Rattus norvegicus: one gene and its partners. The main gene of each other region encodes a partner of the protein of the gene in region 2 in a complex. Links are inferred from orthologs where the notes say so. Each region holds a gene or a part of one and is shown on either strand. Other genes may lie near its edges.

Evidence for each region. The genes of interacting proteins can lie anywhere in the genome.
Region 1: Taf1a (region 2) and Rrn3 share a complex: the UniProt entries of both Homo sapiens proteins name them as parts of the pol I pre-initiation complex. The link is inferred for Rattus norvegicus from reciprocal best matches to the Homo sapiens genes TAF1A and RRN3.
Region 3: Taf1a (region 2) and Taf1d share a complex: the UniProt entries of both Homo sapiens proteins name them as parts of the transcription factor SL1/TIF-IB complex. The link is inferred for Rattus norvegicus from reciprocal best matches to the Homo sapiens genes TAF1A and TAF1D.

What each region holds. Positions count from the first base shown.
Region 1 is NC_086028.1:2,669,496-2,673,525, forward strand, and holds the start of Rrn3 (RNA polymerase I-specific transcription initiation factor RRN3), read right to left. Parts: upstream 2,801-4,030; 5' UTR 2,795-2,800; coding exon 2,712-2,794; intron 1,389-2,711; coding exon 1,283-1,388; intron 1-1,282. UniProt on the Homo sapiens protein: Required for efficient transcription initiation by RNA polymerase I (Pol I). Required for the formation of the competent pre-initiation complex (PIC).
Region 2 is NC_086031.1:97,560,772-97,564,271, reverse strand, and holds part of Taf1a (TATA box-binding protein-associated factor RNA polymerase I subunit A), read right to left. Parts: exon of another isoform or gene 3,370-3,500; coding exon of another isoform or gene 3,337-3,369; intron 3,331-3,336; exon of another isoform or gene 2,989-3,330; intron 1,886-2,988; exon of another isoform or gene 1,882-1,885; 5' UTR 1,872-1,881; coding exon 1,748-1,871; intron 1,418-1,747; exon of another isoform or gene 1,046-1,417; intron 1-1,045. UniProt on the Homo sapiens protein: Component of the transcription factor SL1/TIF-IB complex, which is involved in the assembly of the PIC (pre-initiation complex) during RNA polymerase I-dependent transcription.
Region 3 is NC_086026.1:20,426,814-20,430,775, forward strand, and holds the start of Taf1d (TATA box-binding protein-associated factor RNA polymerase I subunit D), read left to right. Parts: upstream 1-1,162; 5' UTR 1,163-1,209; exon of another isoform or gene 1,210-1,597; intron 1,598-2,530; 5' UTR 2,531-2,551; coding exon 2,552-2,622; intron 2,623-3,348; coding exon 3,349-3,727; intron 3,728-3,962. UniProt on the Homo sapiens protein: Component of the transcription factor SL1/TIF-IB complex, which is involved in the assembly of the PIC (preinitiation complex) during RNA polymerase I-dependent transcription.

The DNA.
Region 1 (4,030 bases), on a different chromosome or scaffold from region 2:
AATTTAGATAGCATCTATTTAAATGTATTGCTCTATGTGGAAATTATAAAACACAACATCTAGAAGAAGCACTTAACAAAACCAAAGATCGCTAACGTATTCTTCTACAGTAAAGCTTAGGTAACTCCTGAAGAGATAAAATGGTACCGGGCAATGGTGTCCATGCCTTTAATCCCAGTACTCGGGAGCCAGAGGCAGGCGGGTCTCTGGCCTAAAAAGAGAATTCCAGAACAGACAGGACTACACAGAGAATCCCTGTCTTGGAGAAGAGAAAGAAGGTGGGGGAAGGGGGATGGTTTAGTAGAGCCAGGCATGGGGTTACACAGTAAGAAGGCAAAGACAGCTAGATCTCTATAAGTTCAAGGCCAGCACAGGCCACAAAGCAGTTCTGGGCCAGCCAGAGCTATACAGGAAGACGCCATCTCAAAAGAATACAAAGCTATTTAATCAGAGTAAGTGTAGTTCCAAGCTTAAGGCAAGAAGACTGGAGTTAGACATCAGACAGGGCTACACAAACGAACAACAGTTACTCTAACTTCTTTAATTTTAGCACTTGCTAGTTTTCAAGATATATACGGCATTTTAAGTCTTAAACCTCACCACACTTGTTTTGGTTACCTTTAAGCTTACAGAATCATGCACATCACTAAATATTCTATTTCACTAAATATTCACTAAATATTTCCCTCCATTCCATCTTTTTAGTCTAGCAGTTCTCAACCTGTGGATGTCTACCCTTTTGGGGACTGAACCCCTTTCACTGGTGTCGCCTAAGACCATCAGACAGCACAGATACTTACATTATAAGTCATAACCATAGCAAAATTACAGTTATGAAGTAGCAAAGAAAATAATTCTATGGTTGGGGGTCACCGCAACATGAGAAACTGTATTAAAAGGGTCAAAGCATTAGGAAAGTTGAGAACCTCTGTTTTAGACAGAGGCTAGTCTCAAACTCAGGGATTCACCTGCTGCCTTCAAATGCTAGGATTAAAGGCACAAGCCACCAAGCCCGGAGTGAAATTTATCTTTAGCCTAAGGACGGAGCTCAACTAGAACTGTTTTCCTGGTGTGGACAAGGTTCTAGTTCCAGTGCCCACCACTGAGAAACGTAAATCATAAATGCACACATAAACACTAAAGTTCACCTTGTTCTGTTACTGCTGTGTTTGTTTGCTTTGGGGGTGTACTCAGGAGGAATGCAAAGTCTTGATAGTTTGCTCTTCAGTATAGCACCCATTAAACCAAACCCTATCAAGGTAAAGCCCAGATCTCCTCATACCTTTTTGTACTTCAGTAAGACGTCTGTCACAGTTCCACCAAACCGAACAGTTTTTCTTGGGGGAGAACTGAAGAAATCACTCTCTAATGCAAGCATGTTTGAAAGCCTGAAGAACCAGGAATACCAGTTGTTAAATTCATGACAGAGAATGACAACAGTAAGCATTACTAAACCAACATCATTTTGTGTGATGAGGTTTAAGTTTCTTAAATGATATATATACCTGCTTCCAACCTTCTCCCCCACGAATCCACTCTTCACTCACTAAAACTGTCTTCTTGCAGCACTTACAATAAGAATTCAAACTCAAACTCCTAATACTTAGAAAGCAACATTTGGGAAGATGAGGCAGACCTAGGCTACAGAGTGAGATCTCAAATTTTATTTTATTTTTTTTAAGAGTAAGGGAAGGGAAAAAATAGAATTAAAAAAAAAAAACCTCTGTATTCCTATATTAACCCTGTAAGATCCTGTTTAACCATCCACCTTTCCTAACTCTGATGTCATGATACAATCGTTTGTTAAAAGTATGATGTCCTTTTTATTCCTCAAACTTGTCAAGCTGGTTCCCATTCCACTTGCTACTCACTGTTAGAAACACCCTTCATACACACACACACACACACACACACACACACACACACACACACACAAGGCTGGAGCTCAAATGTCAGAGGCCTTTTTCACCAGAACCTCTCACACTCACCCTTTATTTATCCTGCTGTAAAGTTGTAGTTCTTCACAGCATTTACTGAAACTATACCTGAAACTATCTTATCCGTTTATTGCCCACCCCCACTTCCCCACCTCCAGTTCTGTTGAGTATGAGAACATTAGTCTCTGGATAAGCTAATGTCCCCAGTGTCTTCTTAACACAGCATGTACATACTTCATAAACAACTATTATTATTCTGTACAAGGTTTACTTTGTTTAGATTAGCTTCCAAATGTTTTATAGGAATAGGCATTTTTAAATGTTAGGCAAAAACAAAAAACCAAAAACCAAAAAAACCAAAAAACCGATTGCTTAGATAATATATGGTAATATATGGTTCCACTATGCTACTGCTCGCTTCTGCAGAAACAAATTTCAAACAAAATTTTGGCGATTCAATAGGTCTCCAGTGACAGCTTTCCCCTGGATATACAAAACCCTGGAAATGCCGTCCACGTCTTAGCCAAGAGAGGGAAGAAAAAAGGAGCGGACGATTTGCCTATAGTCCCAAAAGGGTGCCCCCAAGAGTGAGTGGAAGACAATGGAACAGACAAGACTCGCTAACGCAGCTTCGCCCGGGCAGAGAGGACCAGTGGCTCCTGCGCACTTGGGCCAAGCCCGCACGCCAGGACCCCTCCGAGCCCTAGTCACACCCCGAGCGCTCTCAGCCGGCTCGAGCCCCGCACACGCAGGCGGAGGTCGTCCAGATCTTACCCAGTCCGCGACGCACTCAGCGTGGCAGAGCCCGTAGCCGCCACGTCGCTCGACAAGCGCGTGTGGAGCAGCGGGGCCGCCATTCGGCCTAGGCAGAGAGATCGCTGGGCCTTGCGCCGGAAGCCACGGCCTGCCCGCCCCGGAAGTCGCGCTGGGGGAGCCGAATGCGGCCCATGTGAGCGAGCGGAACGATCGCAGCTAGAAGGCAAGTAGACTTTCGCCTGGCCCTAAGCTGTCTGAAGCTTCCCTAAGAACAGGCGGGCACAGCTAGGCGGGGCCAACAGTGGCCGGGTTTCTCAGAACCGCCTTCAGAAAGAAGCTTGCCATAGTGGTGTGCGCATGTAACCCTGGTACTGGAAGTGGAGGCAGCCAATGGGTAAAATATTAGGGCCTGAGTTACCCAGGTAAAAAGCACAGTTTGATGTTAGTAATGCTGGCACTTGGTGGCTGGATAAATGGCTCAGTGAGTGGTTAAGGGCACCGACTGCTCTTCCAGAGGTCCTGAGTTCAAACCCCGGCAACTACATGGTGACTCACAACCATCTGTAATGAGATCTGATGCCCTCTTCTGGTGTGTCTGAAGACAGCTATAGTGTACTGATATAATAATAATAATAATAATAATAATAATAATAATAATAATAATAATAATAATAATAGTAATAGTAATGCCAGCACTGGAGAGGTAGAGATAAAAGGATCTCTGGGACTCGCTGACCGGCCAACCTTGCCTTTCTGGCAAACACACTGTGCATTGACCTCTGTGAACATTCAAGAACCCACGTGTACATATTTGTTTAAATCAAAGAAATTGTCTTCACGGTGGAGAGATTTGACTGAACAAAATACAAGATCTGTACATTATTTTAGACGCATATTTTAGACCTTACTCTGTGCGAAACACGTATTACACAGTTCTGAGGCAGACCTAGGCTACATGGAGACTGTGGTGAAAAACAGAGGAGAGAGTTAGACGGATATTACCACGGCCAAGGAAACCCAGGCTGGGGGCTGGGCATGGTGGTACACACCTTAGCTGGGCATGGTGGTACACACCACCTTTAATCTCAGCAGAGGAGGGACAGGAAGGCAGATCTCTGAATCTGAGGCTAGTTTAGACTTCTAGGACAGCCAGGGCAATTAAAAAAAAAAGAGCTTGTCTCCAAAACAACAAAAGAGGATCCTGGTTGGATTCCCAGCATTTACATGATGGTTCACAATTGTCTCTGGCTGCAGTCCCCAGTCCCAGGGGTTCTTTTACCTCTGTGAGCACAGCAGGGACACACAGAGATATATACAAAACACCCAAACACATCAAA
Region 2 (3,500 bases):
CTTAGAGAAATTGAAACAGACATAATAGAATTGATGTTAAGTCTTTCTTCCAGAGAAATAAAATTATAGAACAGTCAAACTATGTGGTGTACAACACCTGTAATCCCATCATGGCTGGAGAACTGAGTTACGGTCATGTCCCATCTCAAAACAAACTTTAATACTTACAATGTACAAGATATTAAAAGTATATATGCAGTGATATACACTTACTCAAAAAGGTTTACTCTAAACCTTCTATCTAGCTGAGAGTAGAGGCGCAGGCCTTTGATCTCAGTGCTCAGGAGACAGAAGCAGGTGAGTTTAAGGCCAGCCTCCTCTACAAAGTGAGTTCCAGGACAGCCAGGGCTACAAGAAGAAATCTTGCCTTGAAAAACCAAATTAATTATTAATCAATCAATCAATAAAAGCTTCCATCTATTAAAAATCTTTTTCTCAATTTTTGAAAAGTGGTAACAGAATATGCTACATTTCTATATGATTAAGACTTTACTGGATCTATTTTAAAACTAACAACTTCGGGGTTGGGGATTTAGCTCAGTGGTAGAGCGCTTGCCTAGCAAGCGCAAGGCCCTGGGTTCGGTTCCCAGCTCCGAAAAAAAGAAGAAAAAAACAACTAACAACTTCATTTTAAAAATCCATCATGTGGTGACAATTTTATCATTTGCAACTATTAAACTTAACAATTTATATAACACCTTAAAACTGCCAAGACGATTTGATGAGTACTGTGAGACTCTGCACAGGGGACATGTAAAGGGAACCATGATGAAGACTACACCCCTCATCTGGGCATGGTGACTCATCTGTCACTCCAGCAATCACAAGACGAAAGCAGGAGGACAGCTGCAGATCTGAGGCCAATCTGGTCAGGGTAGCAGGTTCCAGGCTTGTCAGGGCTGGTCATCCTGACTTGATGGGGCTGTGGGCGGGAAGGAGTCTGCAGCACAGACTGGGTACTTCCTGGACCATTTAAAGCAAACTCTAACCCCCCCGGGATCCTCACTCAGCCTTGCTCACGTGCTCCCAGCAGGACTGGAATTACCTGAAAGCTAATTAGAAATGAAGACCACTTCGCTTCAGCTGGCTCCCTGAAGCAGACTCTGTAATTAACCAGAGCTCCACAAGCTGCTCAGACCACCAACGATCCCAGGCAACCAGCCCAGAAACTGGCAAAATGTCTGCTCAAATAAATAGCCTTTATTGGCCTAATGGAAGACTACACTCTCATCATCATCATCATCGTCGTCGTCGTCATCATCGTCATCGTCATCATCCTCATCCTCATCCTCATCATCATTGTTGTCGTCATCATCATCATCATCCTCATCCTCATCATCGTCATCATCCTCCTCATCCTAATCATCATTGTCATCATCATCATCCTCATCACTTATAATTTTCTTTTTGTTGACAGCTGTATGAAAGAAAAGGAAAAGCCTCCCATCTGATCTCAAAAGATAAACAGACATCAAGGTTCACACTTGTAATCCCAGTGCTTTGAGGCTGAGGCAAGAGACCAACCATGAGTTCTAAACCAGCCTGAACTACATAAGTGAGTCCAAGGCAAACCAGAGACAAAGAGCAAGACCCTGTTTCAACAACAACAAATTAAGATAAAATAATAAAATAAGATGAAAAGGGGAATAAAGAGAAGAAGGAACTGGCTTGGGTATTCCTTCTGCGCCTGTGTTCACCCCTGGCACTTCATGGCGGTAAAGTGAAAGGTTTCAATGTTGTTACTTACCCACTGCTTCTATATGCTTCTGAAGCCATGGGAAATGCATTCTTGTCTTAGAGAACTCTGACGTTTCTGGGTTATCCTCAGCCCCAGCAAGCTTTGTCAGTTCTTCACTGAAGTCACTCATCATCTATTCCAAACTGAGAGTGTCAGTTAGTTTCAGGGTGCTAATCCACAGGCAGCTGAACTGTACAGAAAGCTAGACTTTTCGTCTAATAAGTGTCATTTGAGTAGTAACTCATTGTACCTGTCAGGTGTCTTGCTTTTTTAAGTATGCATTGAATCTATGTCAGAAACAGCTGACACTAAAGTTCCAGTCAAGAACACTTGCTGTTTCTCAAGAGGACCTGGGTTGGGTTCCCAGCACCCATATACCAGTTCAGAGCTTTCTGGAACCCCACTTCCAGGGCAACCAACAACCTCCTCAAGAGTCATAGAGTAGTGTGCAGATACGAGGCAAACGCTCACACACAGAAGATAAAATAAAAATCATTTTTAAAACCCATTTTAAAAAAGGATACCTTACCATACAGCTATGTATCAAGTGCATACAAAAACGACACATCCTTAATTACAAAGTAAAAAGCTCAAGCCACAGAAACAAACTGAAGAATGCATGCAACAGGGCAAGTGCAGTAATAGCAGTAGCTAGGATTTATCGGAACTTAACCACATAACTAGCCCGTGCGTTATCTAACTTAACCACAGCAGCAACCTTATTTCCTTCCACGTTAGGACTGGGAAAAGGTGAAGACAAGAATCTGGGAAATGCAGAGTACACGCAGACTAGCCGGTATGAAAAACGCAAGGGGGTGGGCAGGGGGGCCACGGCAAAGAAATGACTCTACAAAAGCAGCCATATGCCACTGGGCTTGGGTTTAGCTGTCAAAATGCTCAAGACCCTTGTCCTGCGTATCTATCAAATACTGAAGCTTCTGTTACTACAAATTCCACCAATGTCCCTCCTTTCTGCAATCCTACGTTATCCTAGTTCTGTACAGCCTCAGCTTTTTTTGTTTTGTTTTGTTTTCCGCGGTGCTGGAGATCGAACCTGGAGCCTGCTCACAAAAGATATCGTGTCTCTCTCTGTCTGTGTCTGTCTGTCTGTCTGTCTGTCTCTCTCTCTCTCTCTCTCTCTCTCTCAACATTACACTTTTATTGTTAGGGGAAGGCACCGCGCACACGTGGAGGTCAGAGACTAAATTAGAGGGGTCCTTCTACCAGTTAGATCCGAGGATCGAACTCACCCGGCTTGACAGTAGTCACCATTAACTGCTGAGCCATCTCCCAAGACTTGGTCAGCCTCAAATTTTGTTTCTCAGCCTTAAAATCAGCTTAAGCTTTTAAAAAACCATTCCGCGAAAAAAGCTTGAAATAACACCTGAATTAGAAATCGACGCACCGCATACGGTAAGGAGACTTAAAGCAAATCTTTCCTTGGCCCTCAAAGATTCAAACTGGCTTGGTGGAGGTTGGCGTGGTGGTGGTTGCCACGGTAACCAAGTTAGCAGTCCTAGTAACTAATGGTCTCAGAACCCAAGAGCACGGAAAGTCAAGAGGAAACCGCAGAAGGAACAAACAGGGGTCTCACACACCTTTTCCGGTTTCACTGAAAGCGCAGGGCACATGGACGCCGCAAACGGCCAAACCCAAGCTCCTGAGACGCCGGTCTCCACGTTGTTCACTGTCTGAGAAAACCCTCTCCGGAAGCAGTTAGCGAGCGCTTCCTGTGAGCTTACGCGAAACCAGCCTGGAGCAC
Region 3 (3,962 bases), on a different chromosome or scaffold from region 2:
TTATTACACAGAAGAGGAAACAACATTTACTCAAGGCGTTCAGTTACTAATTGGCAGAAACAGATTTCAAAAGCAGATTCAAGCCAGGCATGGTGGTGCACAAGTTCAGTTCCAGCACTGGAGGCAGAGGCAGGGGCAGAGGGGTGCAGAGGTAAGAGGTTCTCTGTGAGTTTAAGGCCAGCCTGGCTTATGTATCAGGTTCTTGGACACACAGAAGAGAGACGTGTCAAACAACAGCAGAATGCACTCTATCCCAAGCTGATTCAGCGGTGAAGAAACAGCCCCTCAGCTGACCAAGGGAGAGTTCAGATAGATCCTGCAGCACCTATGATATGAGAACTGACCATGCTTCAGCTTCATTTTCCTCCTACACCGGATGTCTTCTCTCCTCCAAGTATGCCACACACAGTAGGTAGTTTATTAGCTAATTATTAAGTATTTATGATATACCAGGCTTTTATGATATACTAAACTAGCAGGGTTCAAGCACAAAGGCTGGCTCTACAGCTTTGCAAATAGTACAGTCAGCCGCATAGGATCCTATATTCATAAAGATCTAACCACACACACAGGCTTTTGTTTGCTTTTTTGTTTTGTTTTGTTTTTCTCGGTGGTGCCATGCACACTAGGCAAGGTCTCTATAATCCAGTTTTATCTCTAGGCCAACGACTTTACATTAGAAATGCGTTTGTCTGTGAGAACTTATGGGACAGTGAAGTATGAGCATGTACGCCCTCTCATCAGACCTTGTCACCCACTGAATAAGGTGTTTGTAATCTTCCGTTAGAACTTAAGTCCACAGAGTGTCCGTGTTGCAGGATCCTACAGACTGTTGGCAAACTGTACAAGGAACGAAAAGTAGAAGTGAGGCAAGTGAGTACAAAGCTACACTACACAAATACATAGCACAGGCTACCCTTAGTCTGACAGTGAACTCTGCGTGCTCACCACAAGTCGATGCTCACCTGACCCGCAGTGTCTTGGAGGAATGCCTTGCTTGCACTCAGGAGCACAGGTTCACTCTCCTGCTTCTATTTTCTGATAGCTTCAGGCCAAGGGAAGAGCCGGGTACCGCCCCTCCCGGAGGCCCGCCCATCACAGAGTCCGCACGCATAACCACGCCCACGGACGTGCCCTCACGCGAGATTTCATCCTAGTCCTAGTCAGGCTGCTGGGCGCGAGAGCGCTCTTTTCGGCGCGGCGAAAGAGGTAAACGGTTGTTCGTCTGGGGTGCTCCGGTCTACGGCGGCCGACCGGGCGGGGTCGCCGGGACCGCGGGGACCATGGGGGCCGCAGGGCGGGCTCCTTAGGCGGCTGTCCGCCCGGAAACGGCGCTCTCGTAGGCCTAGGAGCAGCGGAGCGGGCCAGGCTCCGGCCTTCCGCAGACCGCGCGAGGCTCGGAGTCGCTGTTGGGAGAGGCCGAGGTGTTCTGGGCCTGGAAGGCGTTTTTAGTGTCTTTAAGCGGTCGTGTGCTGCCTGCCCACATATCTTACGTGCTTAAGTAAGGGTCTTGTCAGCCGGCCCACGGCACAGGTTGGACTCAGCTCACCACGTGGCCTCCAAAGCTTGCAGTCGCGAATTTGAAAGGAGCATTCAGGTAGGAGTGGTTCCTAGATAGGGTTCTACAGTGATTATCTTCGGATCTATCCACAGGTGTATAGTGGGTGCAAAAAGGCCAACCTGAAATTTCAGTTTTGATGGGTTAATTTAAAAAGGCAGTTCATGCAGTGGGTATTTTGCAATCTAAGGACATAATCACCTGTTTTTCTTAGCCTTGAAAACTGTGATTAGTTTAGTTCTAGGATTTGTGTAGCCTAAGTTAACTTTTGAAGTTTTTTTCTCCTTAGCACAAGTGGCCCTCTTACCTACTTCTTACTTTTACACACGTGCATGCAGTGCTCACAGCCCACAAGAGGGATATCGACTCTCTTAGGAATGGTTACAGCTATTTTTAAGCTGCCATGTGGGTGCTGCGAGTCTAATCTTAAGACCATTGAAGAGCTCTTAGTCCATTGGCAGTACTCTTAACTACTAGGCCATCTTTCCAACCCTAATCTAAAGGTTCTTGTACACGCTGTTAGTATCCCAACTACCCGAACTGATGCTTATTTTAGTGTCTAGTGGGCAGCCCAGATTGGAATTAGAAATGCTATATTACTATGTGAGGCTATGTGGTGGTTAAAGCAAAGTGGGCAGATTTTTAGAGAGAAAACAAACTACATTGGAATGTGGTTTGCTTCCACATTCTGTGGAATGTATGCTATGTGTGTGAGTACTCTGGAAGGCAAAGTGCCGTAGCCTCATGGAGCTGGAGTGAACTGCTTACAATCGTAAGCAACCCGTTGTGGGAACTGAAATCTGGAAAAGCAGAGGAGCTCTGCTTAGCTCACTTAAGGGCTTCAAAAGTAGATCTGAAATGTAGGATCCATAGGGATTTTTACAGAAACTGACATAGTGGTAAGGAGTGTGTTGAACTTTCTATTAGAATGCTGTGTATGTGAAGGGGCATCATTGAAATTTGTAATTGCAGAAAACTGGGTAAAGCAAAGTGATGGCTCAATCAGAGGTGGATTCTGTTGACTGTGTGACATCGGATAGAGATGGGGACATTGGAAATCAAAGGTAGGTAAACTATAGATTCAGTCCAAATGTTCAATTTATTTTGAGGAGGGTCTCAATAAATAGAGCCATGGCTGACCTCACCCAGATAATCCTGCCTATCTACCTCCCAAGAGTTGGGATTAAAGGCATGTCACCACACCCTGCAGTCCAGCATATTTGAGTGCTGGGGAGTTTTATTTGTATTGCTTGTCCATAAAACATGGAAAAGCTGAAGATTAACATATTATTAGCTTGACTAATCGTTAAAAAAACTGTCTTGTGGGGCTGGAGAGACGGCTCAGCGGTTAAGAGCACTGACTGCTCTTCCAGAGGTCCTGAGTTCAATTCCCAGCAACCACATGGTGGCTCACAACCATCTGTAATGGGATCTGATGCCCTCTTCTGGTGTGTCTGAAGACAGCTACAGTGTGTTCATATGCATAAAATAAATAAATCTTTTTAAAAAACTGTCTTGTTTTATATAAAATAGTAAGGACACGGTGGTTAACTGGTACTGAGTTCATTCTGAAATGCTGGGTATGATTTTAGGGGATTGTACTTGGAACATGTACTTTTAACATGTTTTTTAGAGTGGATTGCGTGTCTATTCTGGTGCTCTTAGGTGTGGGAGCTGTGAAACTGAAGGGATGCATGATTGTGAGCTGCCTGGGAGAATGGCCTTGCCACTCCTGGGGGATTAATTATATCTAGTGGTAATTCAGTAATGCAATTTAACTTTTGTTTTAGTGATGACTCATCCAATAGCAGCTTATTTAAAACACAGTGTGTTCCTTCACCTACAAGAAAGCAAAGAATCCCTACTGTGAAATGTGTTCCTTCACTTGCAAGTGTTGAAACAGATTCATCAAGTGACTCTTCTCTAGAACCAAGGCCTTTGACTTTAAAGGCTATTTTTGAAAGATTTAAGAAAAAGAAAAGGAAAAAGAGGAAAAAGAGAAAATATAAGCCAAAGTTAAGACGACAAGGAAGACCATCTGGAACGAGGAACATTAGAAGGTCACAAATAGATGCAAAACAAATTAAAGACAAAGGAGCTGTGTTTCCATTCTTAGAATCTGAAAGTGGAAGAAAGACTTTACCTTGGAAGAAAATTTTAACATATGAGGTGAGTGATTTTTTTTTTTAATGTAGGTGAATACATTAAGTAGGATGGAATGGTTTGTTGGTCATTCTTTTTTCTTTTAAAAGATTGATTATATATAAATACACTGTAGCTGTCTTCAGACACCAGAAGGCATAGGATCCCCATTTCAGATGGTTGTGAGCCACCATGTGGTTGCTGGAATTTGAACTCAGGACCTCTGGAAGAGCAGTCAGTGCTCTTAACCACTGAACCGTCT